Linked DNA regions of Xenopus tropicalis. The protein of the gene in region 4 purifies or fractionates together with the protein of the main gene of each other region. This does not show direct contact. Links are inferred from orthologs where the notes say so. Each region holds a gene or a part of one and is shown on either strand. Other genes may lie near its edges. The genes, in order: pip4k2a, cdc37, cops4, stk11 and hsp90ab1.

Region 1 (6,191 bases), on a different chromosome or scaffold from region 4:
CCACTGTCTTCTGACCAAATGGGATCTGAGCCCCAAAAAGTCATACACTACTCTAAAGGCGGCTGCATGCCCAAGACTAATGCACAGGCCCAAACAGTCCTCCACCAGTCACTTAAATAGCAGCTGTCTATGGCAGCCCCTCTGGCATTTGCCAGAAGCCACAGATGGCCAGTCGGGCCTGCAGTGTGCCCACAGTGCCTGTTGTTTGACATATGCAGCTATTTACGGTGTGTGGTTCCAGTTTTATTGGCCCATTCCCCTAAACATAACCTTATTATGTGGCCCTCCATTTGCATTGCCAGTTGGATAATGTAGATAGTCATTCGCCCACAGCTCTTGCCTTGGCCCTAAAGCTGGCCATACACGTGGCGATCTGACGATGTTTCGTACGACCATCGGTCGTAAGATCCGCCACACACCATTCAGGGCTGAATCGGCAGGTAAGGAGGTAGATACAATAGGATTTCTACCTCCTTCTGCCGATTCAGCTCTGAAGGGAGAATTTTGGTCAGGCGCCTTCTATGGCACCCGATCAAAATTTTCCAACTGGTCCGATCGGTGAGTCGGCCGATATCAGCAGCTTCCTGCGATATCGGTCGACTCGCTGACATACCATACACGCACCGATTATCGGACGAAATGAGGTTTCGTATGATAATATCGGTGCTTGTATGGCCACCTTAACCCGTCCTTCAGCCAATATGGCTTATGTCAGCCAAGTTCGGAATACTATCTATGGCAGCGGTTCTCAACCTGTGGGTCGGGACCCCTTTGGGGGTTCAAGGACCCTTTCACAGGGGTTGCCGAAGACCATTGGAAAACACATATTTCCCACGGTCTTAGGAATAATTTTATGGTTGGGGGTCACCACAACATGAGGGAAAGGGTCCAGGCATTAGGTTGAGAACCACTGATCTATGGATAACTGTGCATGTGAGGGAAAACACATTCAAGCACTTGGGAACTCGCCACTGTTACTATATTTTAGGATAGCAGAAAACACAAGACTTTTGGGGTTCAAAAGACATGTGCGTCAATACAATTCGATTTTTAAAACGTGTAAACTCGGGGCAAGAAGGTACTCTCTCTCTCACGCCCTCCCGTACGTATTCTGCCCAGGGCACTGGCTGATGAAACGAAAAATCCTCCGTGCCCCGGCGCCTTTCCATGTGAGGCAGGGGCAGGGCCCGACCGCCCCTCCTTTTATTCTTTCCTCCTCCTCCGAGACTGTCAGTCAAGCAGCAGAAGCTGCAACCGGCCGGAAGCGCTGGGAAAGATGTGGCCAGCAGCAGCAGCAGCAGCCAGAGACGCGGTAGGGGCTGGAGGATAGGGGAAGCGCTGTCAGTAGGACATAGAGGAGTGAGTGGTGCAGATGCCGGTGAGAAGCGGTTGGAGGGGAGGGAGCGGGCTGTGTGTGTGCATGGCAGCAGCAGGGAGGGCTCTGGCTGCAGGAGAGGATGTGAGCTGGAAATGCTGCAGGGTGCCAGTGTGCTGCCTCTAAATGCCGGGGCGCTACTCTGTCCATGCCCGTCTGTCCATGCCCGTCTGTCCATCTCTGCTGCTACCCGCTATTGGATTCTTTGGGGGTTTTCTGTTCATTTTGGAAGAATGTCTCTGCTTGTACATTTATTAAGTGGGGATCGTTTTCTTTCTTCACACGTAACCCTTATCTCCCAGTTCTGCTATTTCAGATGCCTAGACACGTCCTGCCCAAGAGCTTCTAGTGGGGAATGCTGGGAGTTGTAGTTTAATATCATTTGAATAGCTAAAATCTGTGCCATTTATTTGTTTATTTGCAGTTGGAGCAGCTGCTGCAGTGTCTGTCCATCCTTCGCTGCCACCCAGCAGAGCTGAGATAGATGGATAGGATACGATCCAGTCCAGGAAACAGGAGGGAGGCGCATTAAATCAGACCCCTGTGCCTGGCAGGAGACAGAGGAAAGACCAGAAGGGGCCAGATCTGAATTGGATGTGGGAGAAAAGAGATAGAGGGAAACGCCTACAGAGCCAGAAGATCTCTCTCTCTGTCTCGCACACTCTCTCACACACACAGACACACACACACTTCTCCTCTGAGCAGTCTTTCCTTTCCGGGGCTGGCTATAGAAAGCCCTGCCTGAAGATTGCACTCTGGGCTGTGCTTCTCTTTTCAACTTCTCCTATATGCCTGTGAAGAAAACTTTCCTGGATCTTGCCATTTTTTTGGATGTGCCTATAGTGTTGATAGATCAAAAAATCCAATTTCCCCTTCTAAAGGACAAGTGGGAGGAATTTCTGCAAGGGGACCGCTATGGCTGCTGTCAGCACCGCAATCTCCACCATGGCCAGTAAGACCAAGACTAAGAAAAAACATTTTGTGGCCCAGAAAGTCAAATTGTTCCGAGCCAGCGATCCTTTGCTGAGCGTCCTGATGTGGGGAGTGAACCACTCGGTAAGGGAATATGACTGAGTGGTCCAATGGCTAATTGTTAGCTCTCACTGTCGGTGTCCTTTGCTATTGATTTTATGGTTGCTGATGTTAGGACATAAGGGTATGTGACCTGTGAAGGTATGATGCCTGGCTGCTTTTTTTTTATGATGTGGCTCTCTGTGATGAATTAAAAGAGGTATCTGATCTGCAGCCTTACAGTTGATGTGAAACTACAACTCCCAGAATTCCTTAATTGCCAGATTTTGGGATTTGTATTTCCACGGTAGTGTTGCTAGTCTTGTCTATAAAAAGGTCATGATTTTCTGTTGCGTATTCTGTAGTCCTGTGCCATTTTATGGGATGTTGACTCTTATTGGTTTTGCCTCATAATTATGCAGCCCATAAGATATAAGAGCTGCGGGTCTCCATGCTGCAGCCTTGGCTAGTTTAGGTTACAGCAGTGTTTATTAACCATCACCAACCATGGATTTGTATGAAGCTGCTTGATTTTTACTTGCCCCTAGGCAGTGCATCAGTGAACAAAGGCAAACCGGGCTGCTTGTGTTCCCCTTTATCTAATAATTTGCCCACTTGCACAGGTTTGCCTACAGCTCCGTGATGCAGGGCTTTTGATCTGCGGAGAGTTGTCGGCTGATAACAATATTTATTTGGCTTATTGTTGTCCTTACCTTGGTTTTAGCCTGATGCTCATCTCTGTACTCTGTAGATGGGAGGGTTTGAGGAAGCTTTTAAGCAAAATAATTTGTTTAATGGAAAGATAAAATAATAGGTCAAGGATTGCCCACTCTGCCAGTGAACTGTGTGCGTGCATGTTTATGTGTATACACATAATATCACACATGAACAAGTTTATGGCTGATGATGGCGTGGTATTGCCATTGCTGATGTGGTCAAAACAGCCCGAGTGCCATAGGTCTAGTACAAACTTGTCCCTCCAGCAGTTTTAAAATTATTTCCCCATTTATACTAATCCTGTAGTTCTAGAACAGTTGGAGGGCCAAGGTCTCTGCTAGCTTGGCATCTTGTTGAACTGTAGAGATATCACTGAGGGCAAACCTTTATCATCACTTTACACTTGAGAAACAAAGAGGTTATGCAGCAGCTGCATCCCTTTACACTTTATAACAGGATTCTCACTGAATTAATGACAGGTGGTACCTATGGGTTTAAACTGCCATTCTCTTCCAGGAATAAAGACCATCTTCCCCTGTTTACATTACTGCATTATACTGGCGGAGTGAGTGGTGCTGTATCAACTCCCCCCCCCCCCATGCACTGGAAACTGGAACTCCTGTGCTATATTTGGCTTCTAAAATATGGCTTAGAGATTCCCTGTTGCATTGCTTGGATGTTTGTATTGTGATCCCTCAGCCAGGGATAAACAGATTTCATAGGAGATGTATCTTCCCAGTTCTAGCATTAGTAAAGGAGAGATGAAGCTTGAATGGTTGGTAGTGTGCCCGCGCTTCAGTCTGCCTGGCAGGACATCTTTTGTCTCTCTGGGTTATGAATAGATCTGACTTCTAACTTGCACTAAAATCTTACTGCATTCACGGCAGTGCCATTGACTCCAGGACTCCTGTGGAGTTCCCTCCTATGCTTCGCTCCTCCGAGCCTTGGCCGATCCCGGAGTGTCACCCGTGTCATTTTAATCTGATTAGTAGATAGAGAGAAATATGATCGCTGCTTGTTGATGGCAGGCCCATGAAAGTTTAAATATCTCTGTGGGTCTTTGCCCGTGCTGTGACTTATTAGGGGACTTAATGTTATTGGAAAATTCAACTACAAAGCGGTTGGAGGACTCATTAAATGAGGCAGATGTTGCTGCCATTCAGCAAATGTAATTATGGCATGTTTTCCGTTGCATTATCTTAAATTAAGAAATAGCATGCTGGAGTACTTTAGCACCATGAGCATTGGCACACTGCGTGATCTGTACTCTACCAGCTGTTTTACCAGCATTATTTGGGAGTATTATAACATGTGTGTGCTGTGACTGCCAAATGCATAAGTTCATATATAACAAAACTACAAACTTACCAGCTAAGGCTCCTGGGAGTTGTATTACAGCACATTCCTATTTCTATTAATGATATGGAACACAATATTATTGGCAGTGTTTTTTCATTATTGTGTGCATATTGTTAACCTATCTATCCTGCCTGTTTCCAGCTAGTTGATGGTCTGGGTCGCTCACCCTAGCAAAAGAAATCGCAAAGATCCTGAGGCTTTTATTTTGAGCTCACTCCTGTTCACCATTTTGACTTTAAGGGCAATGACGATTGTCATTGACACTTTAAATTACCTTTTGATCTGGAAGAATAAAGATTGCCACACATAAAACATGTTACATGCAGCAATCTGGTGTAATTGTGGGAAAATACAGAAGAAGCTAATTTTTCAGGTGATTACCGTTCCCTGTTTGTCATTACCCTTAACCAGCTCTCTGGTTGCTTTGGTAATTAAGCCCTAGCAACAAATATAATATGAGGGGAAACTGTCAGACCGCAACCTTTAACTCCTCGTGGCAGTTTTTGTTTTGGGGAAAAAATGCTTCAGCATTTTAGGTTGATGACACAAATGGGGAACGTGGGGAACTTTGTTATGCGTGGGAAATTGCGCTCCCCGCAGGCATCAAAGCTCCTGACAATACTTTGTACCAGGATGAATCGAAATCACTGATGAATCGAAAATGTCTTTGTCTGCATTTGCGTGATTACTAAAGTAAGATGGCCATACAAGGGTGAACGAAAGCTGCCGACTGGGTCCCTTCAGATCGATTTGGCAACTTATTGGCCTGTGTATGGGGCATCCCGAAGGGCCTGCACCTGCTATATCTGGCTAACAATGAGCCATATATTAATCAGGCTGGTTTAAAAATCCCACCAGAAAAGGAACGCTACAGCACATTGATGCTTTTTTTTTTTTTTTGTCTGACAGATCTTCATAGGTCCCAGTGGCTCCTAGGGCCAACAATTTAATCAAACTTGCATTTGAATCAAATGAGTCTCCAGCCGCTTTAACATATTATACTTTATTTTTAAAAAGTCCCATTATAACTACAATGCGGTATAGATAAGGCACAAAGATCTGTACCTCTTTGCTCATAAAAGCTTTCTGCATAGCAAATGGGACCCACAGGTGCAACTATATTTTCTGCAACACTTAGTTCATGCAGAAGTACAAACTCAGAATGGCATATTGTCTCTGCTTATTCATTGTGGGTTCTGGCAAATGCCAGAGGGGCTGCTGTAAGATGCCATAGTCAGTCACTATTTATTGGGCTGGGGGGGCTGTTTGGGTCTCTGTGTACTTGGAATGCCAGGGCCTATTTTGCATCACAGTCCAGACCTGACAACTGGAACTTAAGTGTCAATACTCTCCCAATCTGTAGCTACAGCAGCACTTCCTACCCCCAAAGGATAAATGTGCGAAAAAACCTCTTGCATGTATGAATGGTTTATATATGTGTATTATGACATTATATAGCTATTGCATTCTATATGAGATAGTATCTAGTTTAAATGAAGTACAGCAGCTCTGCACTGTGGGGCGTATTAGATATTTAAAGGGGAACTCCACCCAAAAACAACTTGAACTTTTTGAAAAGAAAACCTAATTTCAAGCATAATATAATTTGCAATATACATTAATTAAATATATGCAGCTTTTTCATGATTTTTAATGTAATGATATGGTTTTGAACAGTTATCTAAGCCCTGCCCCTTGTTCTTCTGCTGATCTGGCTAACTACTTTGAG
Region 2 (6,308 bases), on a different chromosome or scaffold from region 4:
GTTTTGGTTCTTTTGAGCGGCGCTGTGTGTTCTCCCCTTTTGCTGAAAAAGGCTGCAAAATATATGTAGGCACTTTAAAACACATTATAAAGTACATCACCTACCGTACATAGCATGCTTAGTGGACATGGTTACAGCTATGTAATTGTGATTACTGCACCCCGTTCCAGAAACCACACAGCTGGCCACACATTGGCCAATAAAAGCTGCCAATTCTGCCATTCCGGACACAGCTGGTAATATATTGGCCCATGTATGAAGTCATTGAAAGGGCCTGCCAGATGATTCAGACAAATTTTAACACTCCCGGCGGGTGTGACCACCTTGATGGGTCTTTGTAGACTGTATGTAGGGGCCAGGGTTGCCAGATTTATTTTTCCAAACTAGCCAAAGTCAGTTCTAAAACCAGCCCAAAAATAGCCAAAAGCCACTCTGAAAATAACCCAATATGTGCAATGAAAAAAATTCTAAAAAAATAAAAAAACATATGGGTAAACCTGCCTTTTTAAAGTGTATAATCACTACCCAGTTACTGGGATGGCTGATAATTCCCTGCCCTCTGTGCCCAGTCCAGTAGTAGTCTGTCACTACAGAAATAGATTCCGAATGTTGCATTAACCCCAGACTTGAAACATATATGGGTGCGTTGAACTACAACTCTCAGAAGCCCCAAGGTATCCTGAGAGTTAAAGCTTAAGGACCAACTGCAGAACTGCCCCCACATCCCAATAGAAAGTAATGGTACAATCACATACCCTATAGAGCAGGGAGCAGGTTGCAGAACATGCAGGTTGAGTCTGAAAGAGCAAAAAAGAATACAAAATGGAGCCTCTGTCTATACTGCCCAACTGCATGCTGGGTATTGATTGTAGTTTTATATTAATCCTAGCTGTAGGCTAATTGTTAGATACAAACTACATTACCCAGCATGCAGTGGGACAGCCACACTAGAGGGAAAAACTTTGGCTAGTTTCCAAACTACAAACCCGCCAAGGCGCTAAAAAATAGCCCAAATCTGTACCTTGGCTGTACATTGGAACCCCACCTGGGCTTTAAACTAGTAGAAGAGTTATTATAAAATTATGCTTTTTTACACTTTGAAATGGCTTTTACAGATTGTTTAAAGGTTAAATATGCTAATTGCACAATTGTGTGTGCTAATGAAGTGTGAGACTATTTAATCAAGTTCAATGCACTTGTTTTTATGCCTGAAGAAGGCTAATTTGGTCATTTGGCCCTGGGGCCAAACTACGGAATTATAATGACGGGTATAGGCAAGTCATTTTGGGGACTGCATCAACGAGCCGATGCGGTCCCAGATCCGTCAAAATTTTTTAACCTGCCCGATTTCAGGCCAGATGTCGGTCATGCAGGCCCGTCGTTCGTGCCCCTACACGGGCCAATAAGCTGCCGAATCGGTCAAAAGGTGCCCATACACGGGCCGATTGTAGCTGCCAATATCGGTCCCTTGGACTGTTTCGGAAGCTTATTGGCCCGTGTAGGGGCAGGAACGAGGAGCACGCCCGACCGATATCTAGACTCACATTGGCCACATATTGATCGGGCAGGTTAAAAGATTTAGTTGGATCGGGGAACGCATCGGCTCGTTGATGCAGTCCCCGAACCAACTGCCCCATTGCCATTATAATTCGATTGGCCCCAGGGCCAAACGATCAAATTTGCCTACATGTTCCCCGATATCACCCACCCGTAGGATCTTCACGTGTATGGACACCTTAAGGGACCGATATCGGCCGCTAAAATCGGCACGTGTATGGCCACCTTAAAGCACAGATCTGCTTGCCTGGCAATTAGGCACATTTGGTAACTGACCCTCAACCAATACCTAATGGAAACCAATTATATATTGCTTCAAAGTGATTTATATTTACAATTGTAACGACAAGCAGTATTTGTATATCCCTTTCTGTTCTCTGGTTTTGCTACATTGTTTCAGGAGTCAGAACCAGCAGCGCAAACAACAGTAACAGCCAGGCAGACGCTGCTTTGAACAAAAATCACAAAATATCAAAATGATTTATTTTTCTTTTTAATGTATGTATACCAGAAAGCTGCCTAGAATTAAGTTAAAATAAAACAGATTCCGGATGGTGTTCCCCTTTCACAATATAAGCAGTTGTTTCATGTTTTCCTCCCCCTTGGGCCGCCTATAATGTTGATTGTGGAAAAACCCTTCGCATACCATCCTATAAAGCCGTTTCTATCTCCAATTCCCCTCCACAAACCACTCCCTACGGCAGCAAGAACAAACCTGCCTGTCTAGCAAAGGCGGAAGTGACGCAAGGAGAATGGAATAGGCAAAAAAGGAAGTCGGCCCGAAGACTCTAGCGTAAGGGCAAATCAGCCGCGTCGAGGTTAAGGAAGTGATGTCATGGAGTGGGCAGGCTGAGGCAGAGAGTGCAGGAGCTTTCCAGAAGCTTGCGAGGGGGCCTGCAGCTGCACCCTGGTGTGCCAGGTAATGGCTTCTTCCCACAGCTGGCTATTTCTCTTATACCTGCCTGCGGTGCTGCTATATCCTATTTACCTATACGGACAGGCTGTTTGGGCAACAGTTTAAGGCATTAAGCAATACTCCCTGGTATAGTGAGCGCTGTTCTTGCCCGGGTAGCTGTACTACAACTCTCACAATTATTGAACATATACTCCAGACTTAAAGTATACTGGGAGTTGTAGTCTAACAATATCTGGGAGCCAGGCTTTATCATCATTAATGGCTGGGGCACAGTATATTATTTTCATCTACCCCCCCCCCCCCCATATCCCTGCCATGTTTCTGATTCTAGTCCCTGACATGTGGCAAGTAAAGCAGGAGTTGGGGGGTCGCACTGTCACATCTGGGGGGGGGGGGGGGTAACCATCAAATATTACATTACTGTTGTTTTTTTGATTTGCCAGGAAGGATGTAGAGACAAAATTATACCAGGAAATTTACTCACCATAACAGAAAAGTAACTTTATATATCCCCCAGTTAGGGGGGGATTTGGGGTGAGTGCTTATTTGTGCCCTGGGTACCCCTGGAACTATAGCAGGGTGACTGTTACCCCAATGTTTCTATATATCTGTAACCTTGTTATGGGCTAAGGGGGCCCAGCCTGAAGGCCAGTTAGGGGGGGATTTGGGGTGAGTGCTTATTTGTGCCCTGGGTACCCCTGGAACTATAGCAGGGTGACTGTTACCCAATGTTTCTATATATCTGTAACCTTGTTATGGGCTAAGGGGGCCCAGCCTGAAGGCCAGTTAGGGGGGATTTGGGGTGAGTGCTTATTTGTGCCCTGGGTACCCCTGGAACTATAGCAGGGTGACTGTTACCCCAATGTTTCTATATATCTGTAACCTTGTTATGGGCTAAGGGGGCCCAGCCTGAAGGCCAGTTAGGGGGGGATTTGGGGTGAGTGCTTATTTGTGCCCTGGGTACCCCTGGAACTATAGTGGGGTGACTGTTACCCCAATATTTCTATATATCTGTAACCTTGTTATGGGCTAAGGGGGCCCAGCCTGAAGGCCAGTTAGGGGGGGATTTGGGGTGAGTGCTTATTTGTGCCCTGGGTACCCCTGGAACTATAGCAGGGTGACTGTTACCCCAATGTTTCTATATATCTGTAACCTTGTTATGGGCTAAGGGGGCCCAGCCTGAAGGCCAGTTAGGGGGGGATTTGGGGTGAGTGCTTATTTGTGCCCTGGGTACCCCTGGAACTATAGCAGGGTGACTGTTACCCCAATGTTTCTATATATCTGTAACCTTGTTATGGGCTAAGGGGGCCCAGCCTGAAGGCCAGTTAGGGGGGGATTTGGGGTGAGTGCTTATTTGTGCCCTGGGTACCCCTGGAACTATAGCAGGGTGACTGTTACCCCAATGTTTCTATATATCTGTAACCTTGTTATGGCTAAGGGGGCCCAGCCTGAAGGCCAGTTAGGGGGGGATTTGGGTGAGTGCTTATTTGTGCCCTGGGTACCCCTGGAACTATAGCGGGGTGACTGTTACCCCAATGTTTCTATATATCTGTAACCTTGTTATGGGCTAAGGGGGCCCAGCCTGAAGGCCAGTTAGGGGGGGATTTGGGGTGAGTGCTTATTTGTGCCCTGGGTACCCCTGGAACTATAGCAGGGTGACTGTTACCCCAATGTTTCTATATATCTGTAGCCTTGTTATGGGCTAAGGGGGCCCAGCCTGAAGGCCAGTTAGGGGGGGGATTTGGGGTGAGTGCTTATTTGTGCCCTGGGTACCCCTGGAACTATAGCAGGGTGACTGTTACCCCAGTGTTTCTATATATCTGTAACCTTGTTATGGGCTAAGGGGGCCCAGCCTGAAGGCCAGTTAGGGGAGATTTGGGGTGAGTGCTTATTTGTGCCCTGGGTACCCCTGGAACTATAGCAGGGTGACTGTTACCCCAATGTTTCTATATATCTGTAACCTTGTTATGAGCTAAGGGGGCCCAGCCTGAAGTCCAGTTAGGGGGAGCTTGAAGACCTCTGTATTAGCTTTTAGTGGGGGAAATTCAACACAGGACAGATAGTCCTTCAATGCATTTTGTAGAGACAAAAAGATTAGAAAGGCTCCATTACCGTTTGGCCCTAGATTCAGTCCTTGATAGTGATGAGGCAGAAGCAGTTATGACAGTAGGTACTAGTAACTGCTGGAATTGCATTGGCTCTGTCGAGGTATTTTGGAGATAATTATGAACACTTAAGACATAAGAGGATCGTGCTTAGGGCCTTATGGATACATCAGGCTTTCTAGACACACAGGAGCTGCTTCTGTAGCAAGTAGTAATATAGACCTTTTATATGTTTGAATTCTTGTAAACAAGTCTTTCTTTATGCCCTTCATTTCAGTGAATCTCTTGTTTGTCTGATCTCTGCTACACAATGGTGGATTATAGCGTGTGGGACCACATTGAAGTTTCTGATGACGAAGATGACACTCATCCCAACATTGACACTGCCAGTCTTTTCCGATGGCGTCACCAGGTAATGCCACATAGGGGGGAAGATTCTCTCTCCTTTCCTCATTGAAAATGTTTTAAAGGAACAGTAACACCAAAAAATGAAAGTGTAAACTAAAATATAATGTGCTGCTGCCCTGCACTGGTAAAAGTTGTGTGTTTACTTCAGAAAGTCTACTATAATTTCTATAAATAAGCTGCTCTGTAGCCATGGAGGCAGCCGTTCAAAGGAGAAAAGGCACAGGCACATAGCAGATAACAGATAAAACACTATTGTATTCTACAGAACTTATCTGTTATCTGCTATGTAACCTGTGTCTTTTCTCCTTTTTTCCAGCTTGAATGGCTGCCCCCATGGCTACACAGCAGCTTATTATATAAATTATTAGGGCTGGGCGATATACCGCTTAATACCGAATACCGGTGTTTTTTTTTTTAAAACTATATTCATTTTTCAGATACCGCAATACCGGGGTGTCAGGGTACTCACCCGTGTGGGCTGGTCTCGCACGCCTCCTTGCGCACGTACATGTCAAAGCGTGCACGTCCGCGACGCGCTGACAGCACCAGTTCTGTGCATGCGTGGGGGGTATTTAAAGCTATCAAACGCCTCCTCCTGTGCTATGTTGTCTGCGGCCTTGCCTGGGAAACTAAGCCTGCCTGATTTACCTTACGACTTTCTGTTGCCGATCCTTCGCTTGCCTGACTCTGATTTTCGATACTGCAGTAATTATTCTCTAATTTATTAGGAAATGGGGTTAACACCTAATCATGCATGGAAAAAAAAAATACCGTCAAATACCGTGACACCGATATAATTTTGAAAAATACCGTGATATAAATTTTTGGTCATACCGCCCAGCTCTATAAATTATAGTAGTGTTACTGTAGCAAACACACCAGTTTTACCAGTGCAGGGCAACAGTGCATTATATATTTATTACTTTAAAGCTCTTTCATTTTTTAGTGTTACTGTTCCTTTAAGCTGTAACATCTTGAATTCATTTCTGTCTCTGTTTTAGTTGTTTGGCCAAGTAACAGGGTTCCTGGTCTTCTGTTTTGTTGCTAAAGTTTAAACCGTAATGTTTGTCCTCCTCTTCTTTCTAGGCCCGCGTGGAAAGGATGGAGCAGTTCGACAAGGAGAAAGAGGAGTTAAGTAAAGGGACCAGCGATTGTAAGAAGAAGCTGGCAGAGTGTCAGAAGAAGCTGAATGACCTAGGCCTTAAGGATGGAGGACAAAGTGACGTACAGAAGCTACAGTCAGACCTGTGTCAGCTGAAGAAGGAGCAGAAGGACTGGGAGAAGAAAGAGAATGAACTGAGGAAGAAAGAGAAGAACATGCC
Region 3 (6,083 bases), about 16 Mb from region 4:
GCTGATTGAACACCTACAATTATTGGCAAAAGCGGTCATTTTATAGTCCTGTAGAGATACTTCCTGTGTAAAAATTAAACCAGTTGTACAGGTATGGGACCTATTTATCCAGAAAGTTCCGAATTACAGAAAGGTCATCTCCCATAGACTCCATTTTGAGGAAATAATTCACATTTTTTTAAAAATATTTCCTTTTTCTCTGTAATAATAAAACAGTACCTTGTACTTGATCCCAACTAAGATATAATTAATCCTTATTGGTGGCAAAACAAGCCTATTGGGTTTATTTAATGTTTAAATGATTTTTTAGCAGATTTAAGTTGGAGATCCAAATTACAGAAAGATCCCTTATCCGGAAAACCCCAGGTCCCGGGCATTCTGGAAAAAAGGCCCCATACCTGTATTCTACAGATAGTATAGTTTACCTGCTGCGTAAACCTTTGCCTTTTTGCCCTGGTAGCTTGAGTGGCTTTCCCCATGGCTACACTGCATATTTATATATTTAATAGCAATAGTTTCTGAAGCAAACAAGCAATTTTTACCATTGCAGGATAACAGCACATAATATTTAAATGCATATAAAACTATAATTTTTAATTTTACTGGTCCTTATATAACATATATTACCCCTTTATAGATGCCAAAAATCTCATGCTTCTGGAACAAAATCAAGAACCATAAAGATTCTATTTTGAACCTGTATTTGAAAACAAACGTATTAAAGGTGCCTAGTGTCAGCTTGGAAAAATGCCCTAAATTTATGACCTTGGTAAAACAATTACTTTAACAGAGGCGCTTACAATTAACTTGATTAATGACAGATATTTCTTAATTACAGCAACAGGCAAAAAGTATGTTTAGCATATGCCTCTCTTCAGTATACTACTTAAAAAAATGGGTATACTACCCTTTTAAAGATACTGCATTATATGTTTGGTTCATTGAGGCCTCTAATTTTACAGACTTCCCCCAGCCAAAACATTAGACCCCTCCTCTGACCTGTTCTTCAAATGAAATTACTCTCGGTTGTATCTTCTCCAAGGTGAAGTGGTAGATTTCCTTAGCTATGCCATCAGGCAGGCTGGGGAGGTGGGTACAGAAATCAGTGAGCAGCTGACGTGAAATCACCAAACTGACATTTTCATTTACCACTGCAAAAAAATATCATGCATTTTACTCAAGATAGTAAAGTAAACAAGTAAAGGCTTTGGTTGTCTATCAGGTCAGCCTAGCTGCTGACTGGTTCCTATCATACAGCGCAGTGTGCTGAGTGCCGCCGGCCCCCTGTACAGCCTGGGAATGGAGGAATTTTTCAATAAATCAGTCCAAAGCTTTTTTAAGACCAATCCTTCTATATTTAGAGGAGTATTATGCATTGGTACATTCTTTATTTTTACATGATATGCCTCCTTTAAATCAAATCCCAGCACACACTACCATACTTTTATAGGCCAAAGCAATATTAAAATATTATATCAAACAATAAACATTAATTGCAAAGTCGTTTTCCAGGGCAAGGGGCCCGGGTTATTGCAAAATCCTGTCTAAGAATTAGAATCTTTCTGCCCAATAATCACATTCAGGCCTAATACTGCATACATAAAGAAAACTACTGCAGCATCTTCTAATAAAGTTTTGATAGTGGCAAGTTAGCTGCACATGCCAAGAGTAGAGTGAGATAGCTCTGTTGAAAGTTGTAACCCCTTTAACTGCAAACATGATTGATTTGAGTGGTAAATATGGGTTACAGTAGGTGAAATACAGAAACAATGTTTTGCACAACAGTTTACAACTAAAAGAGGTAGTATACCCCCTTGTTCAATCTAACTTCAATAAATAGGGCTTTTGCTGAACATACTTGACCTTTGCTTTAGTTTCCCAGTTTACCCTGGTTATCAAAAAAACAAAACACAAAAACTATATATTATTTGTGATTTACACAACGGGCAAAAAATATTTTCAGCAAAAGCCCTACTTATTCAACTTGCACAAGAATAAGGAAGGCTCAAAACAGTCATTCAAAACAGTTGCAGAGGAGACATTTTGACACCCCTGGTGGTAGACACTGCCATTATGTTGTGAAAAATTCTTATTCCTCATATATGTGAATCTTTGGGTTTCCACTGCCTGCACACACACACCACTTGCACTCACATTTCCTATTATCATATATAATATATGATATATATTATATATTATCATAGATAATGTAAGTCAGATAATCTATGTCAGATAATTACTGAACCCATTTTCCCCAATAGTGCAACCCTTTATACACCCAAAAATACAAACATACTTGCTTCAACAAAAGCTTTCAAGGCTTCAAGTTGTTCTGGGCCAGGAAGTTGGAGTGCTTTATCTAATATTTGTCGGTACCTATAAAACATGAAAGATAAATTAACCAGCACTTAGAAAAACAATGGGGGATAATATAGGAAAACATATTTTTGGCTTCTTGGACTGTGTTTTTGCAACTCCTGTCAAGTAAAGCTTGAATTCAAAATCCTGGTCACTCTATAAGGTTTCAGTTTCAATTTAGGTTTTTATTTCCACAATATACTTTTAGCTACTTGGTGCAACTACCGTCCACTAGGTGCTTATTCCCCCTTCCAATTGTTCATCACACTAACACTCATATCTGACAGTTATCTAAATATACTAATTTATGTAGATAAACAAATATTAATGGTTTACATTAATATGAATATTAATTACATTTGCTTATGTTTGCCTTTATCTTCTTTTTTTAAATAATTTATGAATAAAGTGATATTTAAAAAATAACAGGATAGGATGGAAAGTGCGAATGCAAATTATCCTAAAGGTGTAAATAAGTATAATTATGAAAAGTTAAACGACACATAAGAAGAAGAAAGTATGAATGGCTGGGTGAAATGTAAGACATAGAAATAGGGGATTAAAGGCAAAAAATTGTGATAGGTATGAGGAGGAGATATAATGAATGAGGAGTGGGAGATCTGTAAAGACTGTAATAGCTGCAGTTTGTTAGTATATCTTCTACTGGGGGAATTGTTTTCCTCATGTGGCTGCAAATGTACAGTAGGAACATCTAATCTGTGCAGTAGAAATGTTTTATTGAACTTGAAAAAAACAATTAAATGAAATTGAAATCATAAATACCAGACACCTCATCACGGAACTCCTTGACTGATTTTACATTTATAATGTCAGATCTGGTTTATATTTACTTGTTCACCTTTTCTATCCATGCTAAGCCATACATTGGCTCGCAGATAACAATTCAATAAGCGGTAACATCACTCATCTACACACAATATAATCATTTCCTTTCTTTCATTTGAACATTTCTGCCCAATAGAATTTTTGACTGGCACTAAAGCCCCCTCAGAGCACTAACCACAAGCATATGCACACTTATTAGTTCCTACGCGCTAACGTAAATGTGTCCCAAAAGTTCTGTTAGCGGCAAACTCACTTTCCGGCGAGATCCTTATGCGATCCGCTAGAATTCATCAGTTGTGTAAGGTCTTGTCTGACAGAGGCTGCCATCTTGCTTTCTGCTCGGACACACTGAAACCACTCGGAACTATAGCGAAATGATTCCGGTGTTGCAGTCACGTGACCGCTTAGTATAGGACCTGCGCTACGATAGGTTAGGCGCTCAGACAGGAAGTGAATGGTGGGCGGAAAAAGATGGGTTGTGACTACATGACCGTGACGTCACGAAGGTCCCTTCCGAGGATAGGAACTAGCCGCTACAATGCGAAAATCGCTCCATTCATTTTTCTGAGAGGTTGTCCCCTGGTTTATTTGTGTGGGTTCTGAACAGGTCCAGAAATTCTTTCGCTCCTGTCTGCAGAATATTCGCTTAAATCTCTTCTGCTGCAGGACCTGTGTGCTCAGCTTCATGGCAGGCATAAAAGGTAATTGCCGCGGATTAAATCGATGCAAGCATCAAAGCAATATGTACTTGACGCTCTCGTTTGTTTATGTTGCTTATACATATAGCTCACAATACATGTAGCACGATATCTCAGCAAATTAATGACTGGAACAAAATGTTCGATATTTGTTTAGCTCTGTACTTCAAAGGGGATTCATGTTGGTAGATTTTATTAGCTTTATTTTTCTGGTTTCTGTAGTATAGTGTAGTGTAATATTTTGCAGTCTCTTTGATGCCTGGACAAGAATTTACTGGCACAAATCGTACTTTAGAACGTTTGGTATTTCTAGAAGATCTCCACACAAAAACAGCATTTTGCATCATGGAAGACTTGGGATACTATGCAGCTTTGAATCATTCTACACAAAAACAAACCTTTTTTAGGTGGAGTTATCTTTAGAGAGAGACTGTTAATGTTTAACAATCCTGAAGGCTACTCTTGTTTATAAACACAGCAAATTGCAATAAACTGGGCATACTGAACAATAGTGACTACAGTAAGCTAGTAATGCTAGTTAGTTGGAGATGGGTGTTGATTTTTTCCTAACTCGCACATCACTAGTTTGGTGCTGTTTTACCAGTGCATAATGGTGCAAAGTTATTTACAATGTAAGTCACAATTATGAGTAGCTTAATTGGTTTATATATCCATTCTAATAGTAAGTATAAAACACTTTAACTGCTCTATAGAATGTAACTTTTGCTGATTATTGGGATACTATGCAGCTTTGAATCATTCTACACAAAAACAAACCTTTTTTAGGTGGAGATATCTTTAGAGAGAGACTGTTAATGTTTAACAATCCTGAAGGCTACTCTTGTTTATAAACACAGCAAATTGCAATAAACTGGGCATACTGAACAATAGTGACTACAGTAAGCTAGTAATGCTAGTTAGTTGGAGATGGGTGTTGATTTTTTCCTAACTCGCACATCACTAGTTTGGTGCTGTTTTACCAGTGCATAATGGTGCAAAGTTATTTACAATGTAAGTCACAATTATGAGTAGCTTAATTGGTTTATATATCCATTCTAATAGTAAGTATAAAACACTTTAACTGCTCTATAGAATGTAACTTTTGCTGATTATTGGGATACTATGCAGCTTTGAATCATTCTACACAAAAACAAACCTTTTTTAGGTGGAGATATCTTTAGAGAGAGACTGTTAATGTTTAACAATCCTGAAGGCTACTCTTGTTTATAAACACAGCAAATTGCAATAAACTGGGCATACTGAACAATAGTGACTACAGTAAGCTAGTAATGCTAGTTAGTTGGAGATGGGTGTTGATTTTTTCCTAACTCGCACATCACTAGTTTGGTGCTGTTTTACCAGTGCATAATGGTGCAAAGTTATTTACAATGTAAGTCACAATTATGAGTAGCTTAATTGGTTTATATATCCATTCTAATAGTAAGTATAAAACACTTTAACTGCTCTATAGAATGTAACTTTTGCTGATTATTGGGATACTATGCAGCTTTGAATCATTCTACACAAAAACAAACCTTTTTTAGGTGGAGATATCTTTAGAGAGAGACTGTTAATGTTTAACAATCCTGAAGGCTACTCTTGTTTATAAACACAGCAAATTGCAATAAACTGGGCATACTGAACAATAGTGACTACAGTAAGCTAGTAATGCTAGTTAGTTGGAGATGGGTGTTGATTTTTTCCTAACTCGCACATCACTAGTTTGGTGCTGTTTTACCAATGCATAATGGTGCAAAGTTATTTACAATGTAAGTCACAATTATGAGTAGCTTAATTGGTTTATATATCCATTCTAATAGTAAGTATAAAACACTTTAACTGCTCTATAGAATGTAACTTTTGCTGATTATCTGTATTCAAATTTTTGTGCTGCTAACATCAAAAGCAAGCACTACCTGCTTGAGTGGTGAACACCTTTTGCCAGGAGGTGCACATGTTCTTCTTTTTGCCATAATATTTATTTCTGAAGTTGCATTTGGATTTTTGTTGAATGAAGTGGTCAAGCTGTCATCTGAGACACAAGAACAAACAGGGGAGATATTTTCTGTATGTTTTGTCTGTTAAAACCTTTTTTGGATGTCTGCTTTTTTTTTTTGTTTTTTTTTGTTCACCATATAGTTACAAGAAATGAGAAGATTTCAAAAGATGCCCTTCTAGTTG
Region 4 (5,547 bases):
GGTGGAAAGCACTTCACATCTCTTCAGTAATCCGAAATCTCGCAAATTTTCTTCCTGCAGGCAAGTCTGCTCAACATTGGAAAATGAAGAGATGTGAAGGGCTTTCCACCAACGACTCCTATTGTTGCCGGTGGAAAGTCTTTTCGGAGCGGAAAGCAGAGATCAATCACTGGCGACTCAATCCCTGGGTTCTTACCCTAAAAGGAACAGTTTAGTGTAAAAATCAAACTAGAGATAGGCTGAACAAAATAAACAAATGTTTCCAATGTAGTTAGCCAAAAACATAATATATAGAGGCTGGAGTGAACAGATAGCTAACATAATAGCTAGAACACAATGTCCTCTCTTGCATCGCTCTATCCTTTTAGTCAGCAAATTGAAGGGGGCCACATGAGACATAACTGTTCCGCTTTTAAATCTGACCTGCGTTATTTCTCACCTCTTAACAAGTCAGACAGCAAGGGTCCACATTCCTCTGGGATGGAGTAGTCTCCCTTTCCAATGTTTTCAAACAATTTATATATATTGTCCCCCTCGAATGGATACAGTCCTGTGGTAATATTATACCTATGCAGGGAAACAGTATGTGTTTATAGAGTGTGTTCTGTTGCATATAAATGAAATATTCAAGAAATACAAATTTCTTATCTTTTTTTAATGAAAGTGCTGAGATAAGATCTATAGCTGGCGACATATTTAAATAGCTAAGGTCCCCATACACAGGGCGATTCTAGCTGCCGGTATCGGTCCCTTAGATTCGGCAGCTAATCGGCCCGTGTATGGGGACTACAGACGGCCTGCCCAACCGATATCTGGCCTGAAATCGGCCAGATCTCAATTGGGCAGGTTAGAAAATCTAGTCAGATCGGGGACCACATCGGCTCGTTGATGCTGTCCCCGGACCGACTTTGCCTTAGCCTGGATTCTCCCGATATCGCCCACCCGTAGGAGTCGCCAAACAGGTGTATGGGCACCTTTAGACACTTATTAACATATGCAACCCATGGGCCAAGTGACTAGAGCATAAAGAAATTGAAAGTTACACAAAAATATGGTAATTTCTGTGGTGGCCTTCTACTGGTGCCAATGTAATGCTTCAGTAGACAGGATTTTGAGTCCAGACAGACAGACAGAAATTTGATGGGATTGAACAATCTTCTATCAAAATGGCATCTCAAAATGATCAGTTTGGCCCCTTAACCAGCTTTGTTTTAATTAAAATAGTCCATAGCTACATGCTGAAGCAAATAGTATTTTCTAACAAATCAGGTGTCAACATGGCTGTCGTCCACAGTAAGTGCAGTGGTGAATGTAGATACTCACAGCGTTACTCCTGCTGACCAGATGTCCACTTTGAATCCTGAGAAGGTATCCAGGCCATTGGCAATCTCTGGAGGCTGAAAAGCTGGAGATCCTTGGCTGGTCCTACAAGTATCACCTTCAGCAAACGGGTGCAAAGCCTGCAAAAGGAAAAAAAAAAAAGTCAAATGGCCAAATGTTTAAGATCTCTTATAAATAATCCACAGCTACATACCTCTGCCACCCCCAAGTCTGAGATTTTGAGTGTCCCATCTGTTGTTAGCAGCAAATTCCCTGGTTTAATGTCTTTGTGAACAATTCCCTGACTGTGAAGGTACTCCAGACCATCAATGAGTTGGCAAAAATAACTGTGGATCAAAAGAGTTCATTGTGTTAAAAAGGCTAGTTCAACTTTAAGGTAACTTTTAGTATGTTTTAGAATAACATATTCTTAGCAACTTTACAGAACAGTCAAAAAGATTGCTCTGTGAGCCTTTAACTGTATTGTTGCTGTTACTTTGTATTACTTATATATCTACTCAGGTTCACAATCTTCAGTCTGGCATTCAAACCACTACCTTATTGCTAAGGTATATTCATCCCTGGCAATCAGGGTTGAAATGTCAAACTGGAAAGCTGCTGAATAAAAAGGTTAATCGTAAGTGTAACAGATCTTGCCAGACTAATTTAATCGCCTTTTATGAGGAGGTGAGCAGGAACCTCGATGCTGGAATGGCAGTTGATGTCATCCACTCGGACTTTGTGTTTGATACAGTACCTCACAGAGGGTTAATGATCAAATTGAGGAATATTGGCCTTGAACATAATATTTGTAATTGGATAGAGAACTGGCTGAAGGATAGATTACAAAGAGTGGTGGTAAATGGAACATTTTCTAATTGGACCAGTGTTGTTGTTGTGTGGAGTACCGCTGGGGTCAGTCCTTGGTCCTTTGCTTTTTAACTTGTTTATTAATGACCTGGAGGTGGGCATAGACAGTACTGTTTCTATTTTTGCTGATGACACAAAACTGTGCAAAACTATAAGTTCCATGCAGGATGCTGCCACTTTGCAGAGCGATTTGACAAAATTGGGCAGCAAACTGGAAAATTAGGTTCAATGTTGACAAGTGCAAAGTTATGTACTTTGGTAGAAATAATATAAACGTGAACTATCTACTGAATGGTAGTGTATTGGGGGTATCTTTAATGGAGAAGGGCTTTTTGTAGATAACAAGTTGTCTAATTCCAGGCAGTGTCATTCTGTGGCTACTAAAGCGAATAAAGTGCTGTCTTGTACAAAAAGGGCATTGACTCAAGGGATGAAAACATAACTTTGCATCTTTATAGGTCCCTGGTAAGGACTCACCTTGAGTATGCAGTGCAGTTTTGGCCTCCAGTCCTTAAGAAGGATATTAATGAGCAAGGAGAGAGTGCAGAGACGTGCAACTAAACTGGTAAAGGGGATGGAATATTTAAGCTATGAGGTTAGACTGTCATGGTTGGGGTTGTTTTCTCTGGAAAAGAGGTGCTTGTAAGGGGACATGATTACTCTGTACAAAAACATTAGAGGGGATTATAGGCAGATAGGGGTTGTTCTTTTTTCCCATAAAAACGATCAATGCACCAGAGGCCACCCCTTTAGATTAGAGAAACAGAGCTTCCATTTGAAGCAGCGTAGGTGTTTTTTCACGGTGAGGGCAGTGAGGTTGTGGAATGTCCTTTCTAGTGATGTTGTAATGGCAGACTCTGTTAATGCCTTTAAGAGGGGCCTGGATGAGTTCTTGAACAAGCATAGCATCCAAGGCTATTGTGATAGTAAAATCTACAGTTAGTATTAGTAGTTGTGTATATATAGTTTATGTATGTGAGTGTATAGATTGTGTGTGCTGGGTTTACTTGGAAGGGTTGAACTTGATGGACTCTAGTCTTTTTTCAACCCTATGTAACTATGTAACAATTCCACAAAATAAACCTTTTTTTAAAAGGTTTCAAACTGTCGTAATTTATCATACAAGCCGATTTCCAAAAAAAAAAAAAAAAAAGTTGGGACACCGTGTAATACGTCAATAAAACCAGAATCTAATGATTTTCAGTAGTACAAAGACAACATAGCAAATGCTGAAACAGAGAACTTTTTAATCCTGAAATATATATGCTCATTTTAATTTAATGCCAGGAAAATATTTTTTTAAAATACTGGAACTGCTCAACAGTTCAGGTCACCTTTGTTGTATTTTTCATTTAATTATGCCATGCTTTTTAATAGGTACAGAATGTGGTTTGGCATTGTATTGCTGAAATAAGCAAGTCCTTTCCCTAAAAAAGATGTTGTCTGGATGGCAGCATATTTTGCTTCAAAACCTGTATATATCATTCACCATTAATGGTACTTCCCAGATGTGCAGGCTGCCTATGCCATGTGGACTAATTCATCCCCCATAATATCACGGATGCTGCCTTTTGAACTGTGCCAGAGGACATGGTGTCCATGATATCCAAAAAAAAAATTAAAATTTTGATTTATCAGACAAGATAGTTTTCCACTTTGCCTCAGTCCATCTGGAATGGTGATGTTTCTGGATCGTGTTAATATATTGTTTTTCTTTTCATTTTAGAAGAAAATAAAAACATTTAGAAATTACTGATGCAGTAATGCAGTCCATGCACTACAGAGTCATACCAGTTTTTAATGCAGGGATGCCTAAGGGCCCATGGTTCACGCCCATCCAATAGCATTTGCCTTATCCCTTGCCAACAGAGAATTCTTTGGAATCTCTGAATCTTTTAATGATATTGTGTACTATAGATGGTGTATGTAGATACTGAATTCCCCAAATTCTTTGCAATTTTATGTTGAGAAACATTATTAAATGTTTGCAATATTTGCCTGTGCAGTGTTTTATAGAGTGGAGTGTCTCTCCCCATCTTTACTTCTAAAAGACCCAGCATTATACAACCTGCTTGTTGCTGGCATCAAAATAAGCATTTCTATCTTTCAGAAAACAATAACATTTCTCAGTCTTACAATTGCTATGTGTTCTTTGTAATATTTTCAACTAAATCTAGAGTTTAAATTATTTGCAGACAATCCCATTCTTTTTTTTATTTTCATTTTTTAAAGTGTCCTGACTTGGAGGCTTGTACCAAAGGCTAATTTGAAGTTAATTAACCCCTTTAAAAAGGTTCAGGTAGTACACAATTCACACACCTAGACATCTCAAGAACACAAGGGAAGGCAAAAACTAGTGGATAAAAACTTGAGAAAACATGCAGAAATATGCTACAATACCACTACAATCTTGAAAACAGTCTGAAAATACCAACTAAATGCCAAAGTATCAAAACAATGGCAAAAAAAGGTAAAGCAAATGAAATAATGCTGCAAGATCACATCAGAATCACTGATCGCAACACAAGATCACAATACAACAGAACATAAGAGCTTATAAGAGAAAACAGGATACTAGCAAAGCACAGGAATCAGTTAACATTAACTCAAAAGGCTGCCTGGCTATGAGAGTCAGGTAGAAGCAAGCATAAGTAACATGACTCAGCGAAGCAATCTAGTAGAGGCAGGGTGAAGTAAATTCCAACAAGTCAAGAGCATAAAAAATATCATAAATGCATGTAATTATGGTCCAAAAGAAGAACTGGCAGAAGAGGGGATTTAGGGTGGCTATATGCTAGAAAAGCAAGAAATTAAAGCAAAGAGAAGAAATGATTAAAATGCATATTATAAAAAAAGTCATAGTGGGCAAATAATGGAGGCATTCCAAAGAGTAGAGAAAACAATTTTGGAAAATAATTAAAAAATGAAATATATTTAATACAGATTAACAAATTGTGCTTTACAAACAGAAATACTATACATACCCATGGGCTTGAAATACAGGAAAGTGTTTTTCCTGCACACTGTCCAGCATCTCCTGCATCCCACAAACACAATATTCCATCACCATATACGTATAGCAATAGTTAAAGAAAAGATGTATGGCAAAGAAACTGAAAAGGTAGTGAGTGTTAATGTTGTTTATCTATAATAATCCTACATTTTCCCAAAGCACTGCAAAAAAAATGATTTCAATATGCAAAAACAAAATTTCGAGATCACAGCAAGTGGACCTTTCTTAGGGAAAACAACACGCATAACACCAAGTGAGCACATCCATCTCTAAAGTGTGGCACTCTATAGGTGAGTGCATCACCCTCACAAACAAAAGTAGCATGGTCGCCTTTCAGGGTGTCA
Region 5 (5,386 bases), on a different chromosome or scaffold from region 4:
CTTTTTGTGCCCCAGAGTGAGAGAGGGGTAGGTAGGTGTGGCCCTTGCCTGGGGCAGGTACAAAGGCTGGGAGATGAGGCTGGAGGGCCCCCATGTGGTACAGAATGGTGCTGAATAATAGAGATAGTGGCTAATAGGCTTCCAGTGCCCACTGTTTTACTGAGCCCCTAGGGCAATTGTGCTCACTGCTCATTGGCTAGGGCCTAGGGGTGGGAGGAACCCTGGCTCTGTGGCAGACAATCATTATATTGGGTCAAAAACAACGGGCTTCATACAGGAATCTGCATAATTCCTTCCCCCTGAAATATCCTGCAATCGATAGGGCAGCTCCCTCCTTTATAGTAAGGGATTCCTCTATTTGCCCCACATTTGGGCAGATAAGTGACTGGCAGTGGGTTTGGTGGCCCTCCTTCCCCCAGAACGCAACTTTCCCTTTAATAAAAATCCATACAAATTACAGCTCCCAGAAGCCTCCGGCAGCCAAAAGGCAACAGGAAAGGAGGAAAAGATACAAGGACCACAAATCCCATAAGTCAGTGCGGCCGGCAAGGGCCAGAGATCTGATTCTGCTCCCCACTCTGGGGCAAGTTCCTTTCCTGATACTCAGAGGGGGTATTGGGCACATACACCAGTGCGGGCTGCAGCACGGATTTCTAGGAATTGCTGATTAGCCCAGCCGGGCATAGAAGCCCCTGGGGGGGTGGGGCAGCATCTCTGCATATAAATATATGGGGCGGAGTTAGGAACATCAGGGAGCAACAGCGCCACCCACTGCTCCCACACAGTGTTACAGTTGTGCTGCAATAAGGGGACCCCCAATAGAACAAGACAGCACCACCCTTACATACTTCTAAGGAACTACAACTCCCACCTTGCTCTTTGGTACAACCCCCCCCAACCCCCAGAGATGGTCATTTAAGCCTTTACCAGTGGCCCCTCCTACAACACCCACCCTAAGGGCTTTATGGACTTGGCAAGAAGAAACCAGCAGCACAAACATAATGGCCTTGGGCAACAAGGCACAGGGAGGGGCATTATCATTTTCATATGAGCAGGGGCAGCCAGGCTGAATCATGCTCAGAACAGCACCCTCTCCTGGCTGTAACAAGGAGCTGTGCTCTGATAAACTTCAGGCACACTTTACTGCTGCGCTGCAAGTTGGAGTGATATCCCCCTCCCCCCCAGCAGCCGATCAGCAGAACAATGGGAAGGGAGCAAGATAGCAGCTCCCAGTAGGTATCAGAATAGCACTCAATAGTAAGAAATCCAAGTCCGGCTTGGGACTCCTCCAGTTACATGGGAGTAGGAGAAACAATAGGTTAGCTGAAAGCAGTTCTAATGTGTAGCGCTGGCTGAAAGCTCAGACTCGGGCACAAGGCACTGAGATGGCGCCTACACACCAATATTACAGCTACAAATACATTTGTTGGTTGAAGAATAAAAGGATAAATGACAGAGGGAATTATTTGCTGTGTAACAGTGTTAGAGATACAAAGTGTCCCATAAATATCATGCCAGTATCCCAAGCCTTATAGAAATCCAAGGCTGTAACTACTGCACATAAGGTTTATAGTTGGGGAAACAGCCCTGTAACACAGCATTGTATCCGGTGCAGTCGGCAGCACATAAACAGGAGACAAACTGTTTCACTGTAAAAAGATCTTTATTTTGCGCAACATTTCTCAACTTTACAACAACAAAAAATAAAATAAAGTTCCGTATTGAGGCTCTCGATAGAGAGATGTGTAGGATGGGGGTGGGGTCTCAGCATTCAAGACATCCTGGGGGCGGGGGCACGAGATTCCAGTCAGAGAGATGGGGGCTACCACTCAGCAGATTTGGGGGTGCTACAGATTGAGGTAGCATTGGGCAGAAGTACCTCACCCCCCCAGACTGGCCTGGCGTTTCTATTTGCAAACACCAGCACATTCAATCGCCCCCCCCATGCAAGTGAATGGGAGAAGGCAGCAGGGGGGTCTCTAAAGCTTCCCAGTAAGTACCCCCCGTGCCTCAGGGGGGGCACAGAGGGACACGCCCATTACAATAGTGGCAGAGGGTAGGATTAGAGGGGGGGCCTGTAAGGTGCATTGAGAGAGTCAAACAGACCCCCCCCCCCAGCAGCTGGCTAACAGCGGGCCACTAACTCAGGGCTACCTCAAGCCAAGCTAGCTGCCATACTGCTACAATAACTTACATAACTAACTGCTCAGACTGGAACACAACAAGGGGGGTGCAGAGGAAAGGGTTAAAGTCAGCAGCCATCAGTCTTGAAGCTCCCCCAAATATATTCTATAAGGAGGGAAGTCCATCCCCAGTATCATGTGATATTTAGAGTCCAAGGGAGAAGTCGCCCCCCTACCGAGTTACAGACAGTGCACATACGCGGGTGGGAGGGGGCAGGACGAGCGGGCAGCAAACCGATTAGTCGACTTCCTCCATGCGAGAAGCATCTTCGTCGCCCTCTAGGGGTGGGATCTCGTCTGCCACCGAGGGGGAAGTTTCCTCCACTGTTGCATCGTCATCATCAATACCTGAGAGAGACAAGGGGAAGTTAACCCTAAATGTGGTGGTTTCAGGACCCTACATACAAATCCCCTTTATGGCAGAAGGATTCTGGTAGCCATTCCCATAATGCTCAGCGACACCTACCCAGACCCAGCTTGATCATCCTGTAGATCCTGTTTGAGTGCGTCTGGGGGTCGTCCAGGGAGAAGCCGGATGACAGCAGCGCGGTCTCGAAGAGCAGCACCACCAGGTCCTTCACTGCTTTGTCGTTCTTGTCGGTTTCCGCTTTCTGCCTCAGGGTCTCCACGATGGGGTGCTCGGGGTTGATCTCCAAGTGCTTCTTAGCCATCATGTAGCCCATGGTGGAATTGTCCCGCAGAGCTTGCGCTTTCATGATGCGCTCCATGTTGGCGGTCCAGCCGTAGGTGCTGGTGACGATACAGCAGGGAGAGGAGACGAGTCTGTTGGACACGGTGACCTGCGGGGTAACAAGGGGCAGGTTGGGGGTTAGCAGGACAAGGCTATACTAGGGGAGGGGCAACATTACTTCCTTCTGCCCCATCCTCACCTTCTCTACTTTCTTGTCCAGAATTTCCTTCATCAGTTTGCACAAACTCTCAAATTTGGTCTTGTTCTCTTCCATCATCTTCTTCTCTTCCTCGTCCTCTGGCAGCTCCAGGCCCTCCTTGGTCACAGACACCAGCGTCTTCCCGTCGAACTCCTTCAGCTGCTGCACGCAGTACTCGTCGATGGGCTCAGTCATGTAGACCACCTCGAAGCCACGCTTCCTCACCCGCTCCACGAAGGCGGAGTTGGCCACCTGGTCCTTGCTCTCACCTGCGAGACAGAACAGAGGGGTCACGTGTCAGACTCTTCCTCTAAGCGAGCTGCGGAGAAGTGACCCCAGGGGAAGAGGAATACCCCTCTCTCCCAGGGGAGCCCATAATGGGATATCTTGCTGCAAGGGCCACTTACCAGTTATGTAGTAGATGCTTTTCTGGTTCTCCTTCATACGGGACACATACTCTGTTAGGGAGGCCATCTCGTCGCCTGTCTGGGAAGTGTGGTACCTGAGGAGCTCAGACAGCTTCTTGCGGTTGGTAGAATCCTCGTGGATGCCGAGCTGCAAGGAGAGGTAGGTCAGCAAGAGCCACTGGGACGAACAAGAGCTCCGCCCACTACAGCCCAGGGCACCCTCCTGCACTGCTCACCTTCAGGTTCTTGGAGAAAGCCTCGTAAAACTTCTTGTAGTTCTCCTTGTCCTCGGCCAGCTCGGTGAAGAGCTCCAGGCACTTCTTGACAATGTTCTTGCGGATCACCTTCAGGATCTTGCTCTGCTGCAGCATCTCACGGGAAATGTTCAAGGGCAGATCCTCAGAATCCACCACCCCGCGAATGAAGTCTGGAAGAGAGAAAAGAGTTAGAGGCGGCACAGGGAGAGACTGCCCAAAAGTCCTACATTCAGGATCCATCTGTGGGGCCCTGTGTGCCTACGTGTGTGTGTGCGCAGCTTAGTAGCAGCTACCAAATCCCCTGCCATAGACAATACTGAGAATTCCTTCTGCTAGACACACGTAGAGACAATTATCAGCAAATGATCAACATTGTCTGTTTCTGTAGCTGCTACTAGTAGCTCCGTGTGTCTTCCCCTTATAGATACGCGAGTGCACCAAGAGGCCTGTGCGTAAGAGACAAGGATTCTTGGGCTGAAATACTACAATAGGCAATTAATTGCCCCTGCCCCCCCACACACTTACCTGCCTGCCTGTGTGCCTATGGGTGTGCGTGGGGCCCTGCCTGCCTGTGTCACCACATCAAGCAAAAGATCTACATGCTAGACTGTTAATGAAGCATCTAATGCCAGACTATTGGAAGGCTTTACCCAGCATCCCATCCTATGGGGGGGGGGGGAAGGAGGGGGCCCACTAAGCTTCGGGCCAGTACTTACTCAGATACTCTGGGATCAGCTCGTCGCAGCTATCCATGATGAAGACGCGGCGCACGTACAGCTTGATGTTGTTCTTCTTCTTCTTGTTCTCAAACAGATCAAAGGGGGCGCGGCGGGGAATGAAGAGCAGAGCGCGGAACTCCAGTTGCCCCTCCACAGAGAAGTGCTGGGGGGAAGCAGAACAGGGGGTGTTAGCGCTCAGGAGAGAGTGTGGAACCCAGAGCTGAACAAGCGGTGCATTATGGGGTTTTTTTTTCTTCTTACCTTCACAGCCAAGTGATCCTCCCAGTCATTGGTCAGGCTCTTGTAGAACTCTCCGTACTCTTCCTGGGTGATGTCGTCTGGGTTACGGGTCCAGATGGGCTTGGTTTTGTTCAGCTCCTCCTGGTCGATGTACTTCTCCTTGATCTTCTTTGTCTTTTTCTTCTTGTCCTTCCCCTCCTCTTCCTCATCGGAGCCCACGTCCTCTATTTTAGGTTTGTCGTTCTCTCCCTCCTCTTCCTTCTTTTCTTCCTCTTTCTCCTCCTCTGCCTCATCGTCGCTGATCTCCTTTTCCCTCTCCTTCTCCAGCTGTCGGGGAGACAAATAGTGAGCCAATCGTACATCAGACCCAGGGCCCTGCCCCCAGCTGGCCGGCCATACTCACATAGAGGGTGATTGGGTAGCCAATGAACTGCGAGTGTTTCTTCACGGTTTCCTTGACACGTTTCTCCTCCAGGTACTCTGTCTGATCTTCCTTCAGGTAGAGGATGACTTTGGTACCACGGCCAATGGGCTCACCTAGCAGGAAATACCAGTTTGGGGTTAGTGGTGCCAACTTACAGGCCTTTAGGGGAATTCTGGTCCAATTGAACACAAACTCACCATGGTCAGTCTTCACGGTGAAAGAGCCGCCGGCGGAGGATTCCCACGCGTACTGTTCATCATCGTTGT

Evidence for each region.
Region 1: the proteins of stk11 (region 4) and pip4k2a purify together in Homo sapiens (affinity purification with mass spectrometry; 3 studies listed by BioGRID and IntAct, counting the BioPlex papers as one, with this or other methods). This does not show direct contact. The link is inferred for Xenopus tropicalis from reciprocal best matches to the Homo sapiens genes STK11 and PIP4K2A.
Region 2: the proteins of stk11 (region 4) and cdc37 purify together in Homo sapiens (affinity purification with mass spectrometry; 8 studies listed by BioGRID and IntAct, with this or other methods). This does not show direct contact. The link is inferred for Xenopus tropicalis from reciprocal best matches to the Homo sapiens genes STK11 and CDC37.
Region 3: the proteins of stk11 (region 4) and cops4 purify together in Homo sapiens (affinity purification with mass spectrometry; 4 studies listed by BioGRID and IntAct, with this or other methods). This does not show direct contact. The link is inferred for Xenopus tropicalis from reciprocal best matches to the Homo sapiens genes STK11 and COPS4.
Region 5: the proteins of stk11 (region 4) and hsp90ab1 purify together in Homo sapiens (affinity purification with mass spectrometry; 3 studies listed by BioGRID and IntAct, counting the BioPlex papers as one, with this or other methods). This does not show direct contact. The link is inferred for Xenopus tropicalis from reciprocal best matches to the Homo sapiens genes STK11 and HSP90AB1.

The regions. Positions count from the first base shown.
Region 1 is NC_030682.2:26,604,250-26,610,440, forward strand, and holds the start of pip4k2a (phosphatidylinositol 5-phosphate 4-kinase type-2 alpha), read left to right. Parts: upstream 1-2,014; 5' UTR 2,015-2,290; coding exon 2,291-2,431; intron 2,432-6,191. UniProt on the Homo sapiens protein: Catalyzes the phosphorylation of phosphatidylinositol 5-phosphate (PtdIns5P) on the fourth hydroxyl of the myo-inositol ring, to form phosphatidylinositol 4,5-bisphosphate (PtdIns(4,5)P2). Has both ATP- and GTP-dependent kinase activities.
Region 2 is NC_030679.2:137,666,078-137,672,385, reverse strand, and holds the start of cdc37 (hsp90 co-chaperone Cdc37), read left to right. Parts: upstream 1-2,454; 5' UTR 2,455-2,476; intron 2,477-4,855; 5' UTR 4,856-4,888; coding exon 4,889-4,990; intron 4,991-6,072; coding exon 6,073-6,308. UniProt on the Homo sapiens protein: Co-chaperone that binds to numerous kinases and promotes their interaction with the Hsp90 complex, resulting in stabilization and promotion of their activity. Inhibits HSP90AA1 ATPase activity.
Region 3 is NC_030677.2:83,709,769-83,715,851, forward strand, and holds the start of cops4 (COP9 signalosome complex subunit 4), read right to left. Parts: upstream 3,549-6,083; 5' UTR 3,532-3,548; coding exon 3,458-3,531; intron 2,377-3,457; coding exon 2,297-2,376; intron 1,152-2,296; coding exon 1,000-1,151; intron 1-999. Other genes in the region: leprotl1 (leptin receptor overlapping transcript-like 1), read left to right, coding at 3,890-3,905. UniProt on the Homo sapiens protein: Component of the COP9 signalosome complex (CSN), a complex involved in various cellular and developmental processes.
Region 4 is NC_030677.2:100,081,274-100,086,820, forward strand, and holds part of stk11 (serine/threonine-protein kinase STK11), read right to left. Parts: intron 5,265-5,547; coding exon 5,175-5,264; intron 1,668-5,174; coding exon 1,535-1,667; intron 1,461-1,534; coding exon 1,324-1,460; intron 568-1,323; coding exon 440-567; intron 1-439. UniProt on the Homo sapiens protein: Tumor suppressor serine/threonine-protein kinase that controls the activity of AMP-activated protein kinase (AMPK) family members, thereby playing a role in various processes such as cell metabolism, cell polarity, apoptosis and DNA damage response.
Region 5 is NC_030681.2:2,230,472-2,235,857, forward strand, and holds the end of hsp90ab1 (heat shock protein HSP 90-beta), read right to left. Parts: coding exon 5,318-5,386; intron 5,234-5,317; coding exon 5,100-5,233; intron 5,024-5,099; coding exon 4,718-5,023; intron 4,620-4,717; coding exon 4,454-4,619; intron 3,908-4,453; coding exon 3,717-3,907; intron 3,629-3,716; coding exon 3,481-3,628; intron 3,343-3,480; coding exon 3,074-3,342; intron 2,984-3,073; coding exon 2,650-2,983; intron 2,532-2,649; coding exon 2,422-2,531; 3' UTR 1,645-2,421; downstream 1-1,644. UniProt on the Homo sapiens protein: Molecular chaperone that promotes the maturation, structural maintenance and proper regulation of specific target proteins involved for instance in cell cycle control and signal transduction. Undergoes a functional cycle linked to its ATPase activity.